Caenorhabditis elegans: one gene and its partner. The protein of the gene in region 1 interacts with the protein of each later gene in a pairwise test. Each region holds a gene or a part of one and is shown in the gene's direction. Other genes may lie near its edges.

Region 1 (4,175 bases):
AATTTCAACACGAATTGTTGGAGGATACATGATTTTTGTAAGTGGTTTTCTGTATTTACAATTCAGGACTCACAAAACCAAAATTTAAAACTTTTAGGCAGCTTCCATGGGTGTCTTGATAAACTTGTTCATGTTTTATCACTTTTTATCGCTTGAAAAAACTGTTTTTTACATTCTATGCTCGTCGAAATCCATCTCTAATACTTTGGTCCTACTTATCTATTTTGGTTATATTGGGCCTATTAATGCTTTGTAGGTAATTATAGAGATTCGGTTCAAGCTCAAATTTTTTTAGTTACGCCGCGATTGGATCTGACACGTTGAGCGGCTATCTGAATCAGGCAATGGGTTTCGGACTTTATTTGCAAGGTTGGTTAAGACTTTTTGAATACGCGCGCAGCATAAAATCAAACCGACCAATCAGCAACGATGGCCACGCCTACGGCACTTCTCTGATTGGTCGGCACCCACACCTCGTTGGCGCGCAAACTTGAGCGTTGCAATAATCAACTTCAGGCCCCACAACCCAACTAATGATAACCATTAACCGCTTTCTTGTGGTATGGTGTTCCCCGGTTAACACTCCAAGGTACAGTACCCGGATTACAGTAGCCGCAATGGCAATATCATGGCTTTTCACAGTTTGGTTTTCTACTCTAATTGGAATGCCAGGTTAACTTTCTACGAAGTGAAAAAACTCAATTAACCAAAAAAAAAAGAATCTCAGACATCTGCCGTTTCCCGTTCAGCTTCGACCATGTACCGTTTCCCGACTATTCAGAAAATGACTATCAATGCGTTGAGGCTTTGATAAGCTTCCTGATATATTATTTATTAGTATTGGCAGTTTCTACAAATTTCATGAATATCCTGATAGCTATCAAGTTATTCTGTCTTTCGGTGAGTTTTTAAGCCTGTAGGACTACTGTAGATTGGACTACGGTAGGGTACTGTAGTGCTTCTGTTGGGGTTTGTGAGAGAATGTTCTTGTTCCAGAAATCTTCCAAATCCCTCTCCTCTGAGTCCGCTAAAAGTCGGCGGAGGTCTAACATCAGATTCTTTCTCCAATCATGCTTCCAAGATTGGATTTGCATGGTCGACGTGGCGGTTAACCATTTATCCCTAGAATACTGTGAGATGAATGTCTGTGCGGTGCTCGTCAGTATGGGGTTTGATGTGATGGTATATGTAGTTGATGGGTAAGCTTTTGATGTCAAAGTTTTGGAAATGTGTTCTATATTTCAGATTGATAATGTATCTCTTCAACTATCGCATAAATTTGAAACCAAAGTCAACGCCGAGTACCCGGAAAACTGTGAAAGTTGGCTTGATTAATAGTGAAAATTCACTACCTCCAGTGTCTTCCTAATTCAAATAAATAAATAAATAACATCATGTTTTACCCCAACTTTGTATGTACAACTTGTTTAAAAAATCTAAAAATGTGAAAGTTAATTGGCGTTTTTTTATTTTATGTTTTTAAAGTTTTTTTTGCAAAATACTTTGAACGCAAAATTCAAAGAAAATATCCATTACCCAGATTACATTTTCAAAAAGCTTGTCGTAGCACAATCGAAATCTGATCCCTAATCCCCATGCACATTACATACGTCTATAATTATCATGCTCTATTGGAGTGGAAAAGGGGGAACTAATCTTCTCGTAATCCCTCTCTCCCCAAGGTGCTCAGTTGCCCATTTTGCTTCCCTGATTCTCCGAAAGATGGACGCTTCTTATTCTTCTTCTCGGCCAAAAAAGTTGAATTACACCTCTTACACCTCGCTGAAATCCGTTCTCAAGTTTTTGAGTGTGAAGAAAAGGTTAGTGAATAGTGATTAAGCTTGAAAATAGACTGAAGAAAAACTTTAAAAAACCCGAATTTCAAAATGAGATTTCTTAAATATTCCTCAAATTTATTCAAATTTGGAAGTTCAAAATATCCAAAAAAAAAGCGATAAAATTTGGCTAAAATAAAGGGACAATTTTGAGTATATTACAGTAACAAAAAACAATTATAAAATATTTTTTCAGAGAACAAATTCACATTCATATTCCCGAGCTCAGGTCTGTCAATGCTCTGCTACCATATGCCCACGAAGAGGTTATCCTTGATAAATTTGAAATCATGATCCAGAACAGATCATATCTTTTCAAAAAGCTTGCTGAAAAAGCCCCGAAGCCTGAAGGTGTGGCTCGCCGGCGACCAGAATATGAATATGCAGAATATAATCGCCTTTTGGTGATGGACCTTGGTCCCCCATCCCTGTTTGACATGAATGACTTGCATCATTTATGGAGACCTATGGGCAATCAGGGTCCCGATCGACTTTCTTTTGGGGACCTGGATAGTCTTGAGAAGAGACGGCTTCGGTTTCGAAGGGAAAACCGGCTTCAAGATTCTTCGGAACACGGTAGAACTGGAAATTGTGAAATCACAATTTCCGAGGAAGATGGAACGGCAATTACAGTAACCAAGGAAATTCCAGTTGACATTGCTTATGAAAAAATTTTCGATGCTTTTTTCAGTAACGGATCGAGAATCAAACTACTAAAAGTTCAATCATTTCCTGACTTTTTGATGAGAAAAGATTTGCTTACACTAAAAGTAAGAGAAATTGACTGCAGTTCAACAGCATCTATCGATATTTTGGAACTTGCTCCGTTCTTGGATCACAGCTCGCTTAAGAAGCTAACCTTGAACGTCACTAATACGAATGTTGATCTATTGATGTTGCCTCTGGTGCAGAATTGTCCAGTACTTCGGATTGTGGAGGCAGGCACCTTCCTGAGCCGTATGCTGAAAACTACTCTGCTCTCAGCTCTACAAAATCAGAAATTGGAAATCTTTCCTGATATTGTGATAATTGAAAGCTTTCCCCAGCTGGTTCAGGTAAGTTTCCACGTTGGAAACTCGCTAAGGTTTAAGCTTAAACTTAAGCTTAGGCTTAGGCATAGGCTTACCGGGTTTTTTTGTGGAACCCGGTAGATGTCGGTCGTTTTAATTTTTTTTAAATTTTTCAGAGCTGGGCCACATCTTCCCGCCCTATAGGGTCCTTAGTCCAAGTAGGCATTCGAGAAGACTACAAAGAGGTTTTGGACATTTTAGACTTTTTGAAGGAAAGCCACGGAGCTCATCCAGCAATAATTAAGAAGCTTGAGTATGTTTTTGAAGTGTTTTCAGAAAAAAAATCTATTATTTTTCAGAAATACAGATTTTTCCAACGGATTGAGCATGCTAATTGATGGGGATTTGGAGCTGGCAATCTATGGCGGAGGGAAAATTAGTGAAGAAGGACTCACCCGTCCTCAGCCCTGCAAATGGAGTCTGTGCATGGAAGTTATGAAGAGGGGGGACACGATTCCTCGTTAAATTTTTAATTCAATTATATGCAACTTCCTAAACAACAGAATTTATTTGAAAATTTACTTTTAAATTGTTCAAGTAATAAAGTTTCCAAATACCTGTTAGGTGTCGGGCGCAAAATAAATGCATGTTTTTTTAGTAAAACACAATTTTTCACTGTACTTTATTTACAATTTATTATAACCAATTGACAAAACTGAATCTCCATAGTTAATTATTTTTTATCCAAAAATCAAAAACTCAAATAGTGAACGCACTGGAATTCCCCCGTACAGCAGAAACTCGTGTGCTAGATTGTGGATCTTAAAATGTATACTATATCACTTGCAAGAGTTAACTTCCAACTCACCGTTCCATCTGAAAATTAGCTGCCCAGCGGCTTTCCGGTAAGGTGAATGAACGAAAATAACTGCAATACTTTCACCGATGCCATGAAGTCCTGAAGAATAATTATGAATCTAAGCAGCCGACAACTTACAGGTTATGTGATGCGTCCGACACTTCCCGGGTAAGTGTCGTATCAATCTAAAGTATTGTGACAGCCGGGATATGTCGGCTGCTTTTCATCAATCTTACCTGCAACGTCCACACCTAGATTCATCATTTCTTGCGAATAAAAACTAGATGTAAAAATAATTGCAACTGAGAATAAAATGAATACTGATGGAATCGAAAATTGCAATATAACATTTTTGAGGAACGTTTTTTGCTTCTTCTGAGTCTCTATCGAAACTTGATTTGAAGGTGCAACATACAAATACCATATTGTCCATGTAACATGAAAAACGCCATGACCAACTGAATGAGCTAT
Region 2 (3,999 bases), on another chromosome or scaffold:
TACTCACATCTTTCAAAAGTTTCCTGAAAAATTACTAAGCTTACAGTAACCTTACAGTAACGCTCTTTACGCAAATGTAAAACTTTTACATGTATTTACATAAACAAAAGTTTTACATATTTAAAATGACCATGCTTTTTTCAAAAATCTCAACGCTTTAAAGCGCTATGAACCCCTGAAGCGCCAAAATCTCTGCGTCTATTTAATTTGAATTCCGCGCGCAAATGAGCGACCATCGTGTACTCTCGGACAATCAAATAATTTGTTGATTTTCCACAAGTTTATGTGTTCTTCGAATTTTCTCATTATTTTTCAGTTTTTTAATTGTATTAATAAATTTATGAATGCATTTTGAATGGATTGATGCTCAATGAGACAAAACTCTTGTTTTATTGAATTATTTGGTTGTATTCCCGCATTTTTTCTATTCCACTGAAAAATAAGTTTTTTTTTCATTTCGATCTTTGGGATCTTTCAAATATGACTATTTTCTCTTATTTCTACGAATAACTTCATCTATTGAAAGTACTCTAGTTTCCCAATTCAAGAAAAAACATTTTTACATGAATGTGAATTCCCTCTCGAGACTTATCCGAATAATTAAAAGAACTTTTTACTACTCCTTCCAGAATATTAAAAATCTACCGTTGTCTATCTTCCAAAGTGTTCATTGCTCCATTCGCAATAACATTTTTATCGCACAATAATAACCGTTTTCTCAGCCACTGTTTTTCCAATCCACTTGTTACACTACACTCGAAATATCGGGAAAGTTCAAATTCCACTGTTCCAAGTTCCAAATGTATTGGTTGCAGTATCGATCGGAAAACAATAAACTCCACTCATCCTGCGTAGCACACCTCCTTCTATTTCGAAATCAATGTTTCCTCGTCATATGTTGTATCTCTCACACCCTCCGTCTTCTTCTCTATACTTGTAAAAGAGCGCGTCGCGCAATACTCATAGAGTTTCATTCTTTTGCATTTATTCAGTCATTCATCATATTCTTCTTTTCTCTTGCTTATCTTTGGAATTCCTCTGACATTCATTCTACCATTTACTAGAATTATAACATTGATTTTGTAAATACTCTTCCTCATTCTCTTGCAATAAAAAACAATTTCCTAACCGAAATCATTTCAGAACTTGCACTACATCTTCCGTTAACAATGCCATCTTGCGAGATCAAATTCGACTTCAACGACTCTGACGAGTCAGTCACTGTTCGTGAAACTCGCATTATCCTGCTTCTTCCAGTCATCCGTCGCGCTGTTGAGCTCCAGGTAAGATATCAGATTTTTTTTTTTGAGAAATATAGATTTAAAAATAAACGTTTTTTTCAGTATCCGGATTTCGCGACCGAGGAGAATGCGGTGATTGAAGCTCCATTCAGGGTTCCATTCAAGAAGGATGCTGGAGTATTCCTCTTCGATACCATCGCTCGCTACGCTGCACCAACCGATGACAATGTCCATGAGATCACTGTTGAACAAAGTTACCCAGAAGCTGGACCGAAGACCTTGGATGAGCTCAAAGAAATCATTGAACTCGCCAACTTCTGGGAGTGTACCACTTACATGGAGTGCATCGGATTTGCGATTGCAAAGAAGTTGGAGGACAAGACCATCGAAGAGATCGCCGCTTTCATGGGAGTCGAATGCAATCCACCAGGAAACTTCTTCGCAGAGGAAGACGGATGGATTCATCCACCAGCAGACGCTTTCCAGAATGTCCAATAGATCCGATCCCCTCGTAATTTGCTCTGATCTCCCACTGCCAATTTCCATGATTTTGTGTTAAATATATTCAAGCTCAATACTTTCACTTTTTACCTCCTTGTAATATATTAAATACTTATCAGAACTTTTTCAAATTGATTTTAAGGAATGAATAAAATGATTTTCTCGAAATGTGCTCACAAATCTTAAAAAGAACTCGAAATCAGAATTGCCAAAAAAATCAACAGAGAGGAAAGTAATTGAGGACGATTCATGCAAAATTACAGTATCAACTCGATTAGTTCAACCGTGAATTGAATAAAAAAAATCGACGTCAAATCCACGGAAACAAGGTTGCCACGATTTTCAGAGGTACTCGCCCTATTCCAGTTATTCCGGATTTTGATGAATTACCGTAGCTCACGATGTTTACTATTCCTTTCAAATTGAAAGTTTCAATGTCATCATACTTCCGTGAAAAAGTGAGACATTCAGTTTTAAAGGCACATGATTTTTTTCTGAGTTATTATCGCGACGATTTCGGCTAGTGCTCACGCTTTTACAAATGTATGATAGCTCTCCTAGTTGAATTTTGTTTTAATCTGAAAACGTTTAAATGGGAATATTCAGCCCAGATGTTCTGCTTTTAATACTACATGTGCAAATTTGGAACACTGCCAAGTGATCGATATTATTGTGTATCTGACATTGTTCAATATATATCTACTTCCAATTTACAAAGGGTCATAGATTGCCCTTTCTTCCTACAATAGCAATCTTGGCAGTGATGTTTACCTCTAACGTCTTGCCAATGTATTCTAGGTCACATCTTTCGACTTTCTTCCCACTGTTCCACATTGATTGTGACAATGAGCACAGTTTAAAGCGTCGTAGCAGCTGGTATATCTTTTCTTTCTATTCATTCATAAGACTTTTGTAATATTTAGTTTAACCAATTGTTTCTTTCTCCGCGCGGAGTTTTCCATTCTCATAAATCTTTCATTTTCAAAAATTCGTTTTTTCAGCCAATAATAATGCCATCCTGCGAGATCAATCTCATCTTCAATGACTCTGAGGAGCCAGTCACCCTACGTGATACGGGGATCATTATGCTAGTTCCAGTGATTCTTCGGTCGGTTCAGTCTGAGGTACGTTAGCCCTGAATTCAAAATTAGTATTTTCGAAACTAAATCTCGAATTCTTTGCAGTTCCCCGACTTTGAGAATCAAGATAACGTCAAGGTTACTTCTCCACTTTCAATTCCGTTCAATAAGAAGGCAGGTGTCTTCCTCTTCGAATATATTCAAAAATATGTTCCACCAAATGATGATACAATCCACGAATTGACAGTCGTCGAGAACTACAAAGAAGCTGGACAGAAGACTTTGGATGAGCTCAAAGAAATCATTGAGCTAGCCAACTTCTTCGAGTGTACTGATTTCATGGAATGTTTGGGATTTGTGATCGGAAAGAAGTTGGAAGACAAATCAGTTGAGGAGATCGCTGCGTACATGGGTGTGGAATGTAATGCACCGGGACACTTTTTCGATGAAGCCGATGGATGGGTTCATCCACCAGCAGATGCATTCCAGAATGTCCAATAGATCCGATTCTCCCCCAGTTTGCTCCGATCTCGTTCTGCTAATTTTCATGATTTTTTGTTAAATACAACCTCAATACTTTCAATTCTCGTTTCACTGCAATAAAACTTGTTGACTATATATTTACTTCCACTGTTTGAATTTTAAAGTTTCTGAAATAGTTTATAAAAACTTGGAAAAAATATCACAATACTTGAATCAGGATGCAATAGAAATGAGCACTATAAAAGCTAGCGGCAATCGGGGAAAAATGACAGATCAGTGAAACTTTGGGATTTGGAAAGCGTCGAGAAACATGGTACATTGAACGTGATTATCTACTGTTTCTTCTTCTCATCTTGCTTGTTGGCAGTTTGACTTCCCCAAATATCAGCAAATGCAAGAGTTCCAGCAAAGACAAGAATGGCTCCAAGCCAATGTTGAGCTGAAAAAGAGAGGAATTTTGATTTCTAAAGACGATTTTTTAGTATTTCTTTTTTTTTCCTTTCAGATTAGATTATGGAGCCCTAGTTTACGACCAAAAGAATCACATAACGTTTTTTAAAACATTTGATTTTGGTACAAAGATATGGTACCCGGTCTCTGAACGACCAAAACTTCCCAGCTACCGTACCCGCAAGTGTTCTAATTTTCTACGACTTTTCTGTTTTTTTTCTTCAATATTTTGATTGATCTCCATC

What was found.
Region 2: the proteins of fbxc-53 (region 1) and F15B10.3 interact in a two-hybrid assay, tested with the Caenorhabditis elegans proteins (one large-scale study listed by BioGRID).

The regions. Positions count from the first base shown.
Region 1 is NC_003280.10:3,709,584-3,713,758, forward strand, and holds fbxc-53 (F-box C protein), read left to right. Parts: upstream 1-1,707; 5' UTR 1,708-1,722; coding exon 1,723-1,820; intron 1,821-2,031; coding exon 2,032-2,890; intron 2,891-3,021; coding exon 3,022-3,158; intron 3,159-3,204; coding exon 3,205-3,370; 3' UTR 3,371-3,464; downstream 3,465-4,175. Other genes in the region: srx-110 (7TM GPCR serpentine receptor class x (Srx) domain-containing protein), read left to right, coding at 1-37, 98-252, 296-369, 517-672, 728-900, 997-1,199, 1,246-1,369; srh-100 (Serpentine Receptor, class H), read right to left, coding at 3,605-3,666, 3,714-3,803, 3,941-4,175.
Region 2 is NC_003282.8:6,600,537-6,604,535, forward strand, and holds F15B10.3 (BTB domain-containing protein), read left to right. Parts: upstream 1-2,139; 5' UTR 2,140-2,143; coding exon 2,144-2,200; intron 2,201-2,718; exon of another isoform or gene 2,719-2,743; coding exon 2,744-2,866; intron 2,867-2,926; coding exon 2,927-3,322; 3' UTR 3,323-3,439; downstream 3,440-3,999. Other genes in the region: sup-36 (SUPpressor), read left to right, coding at 1,170-1,283, 1,344-1,739; nstp-2 (UDP-xylose and UDP-N-acetylglucosamine transporter), read right to left, coding at 3,637-3,743.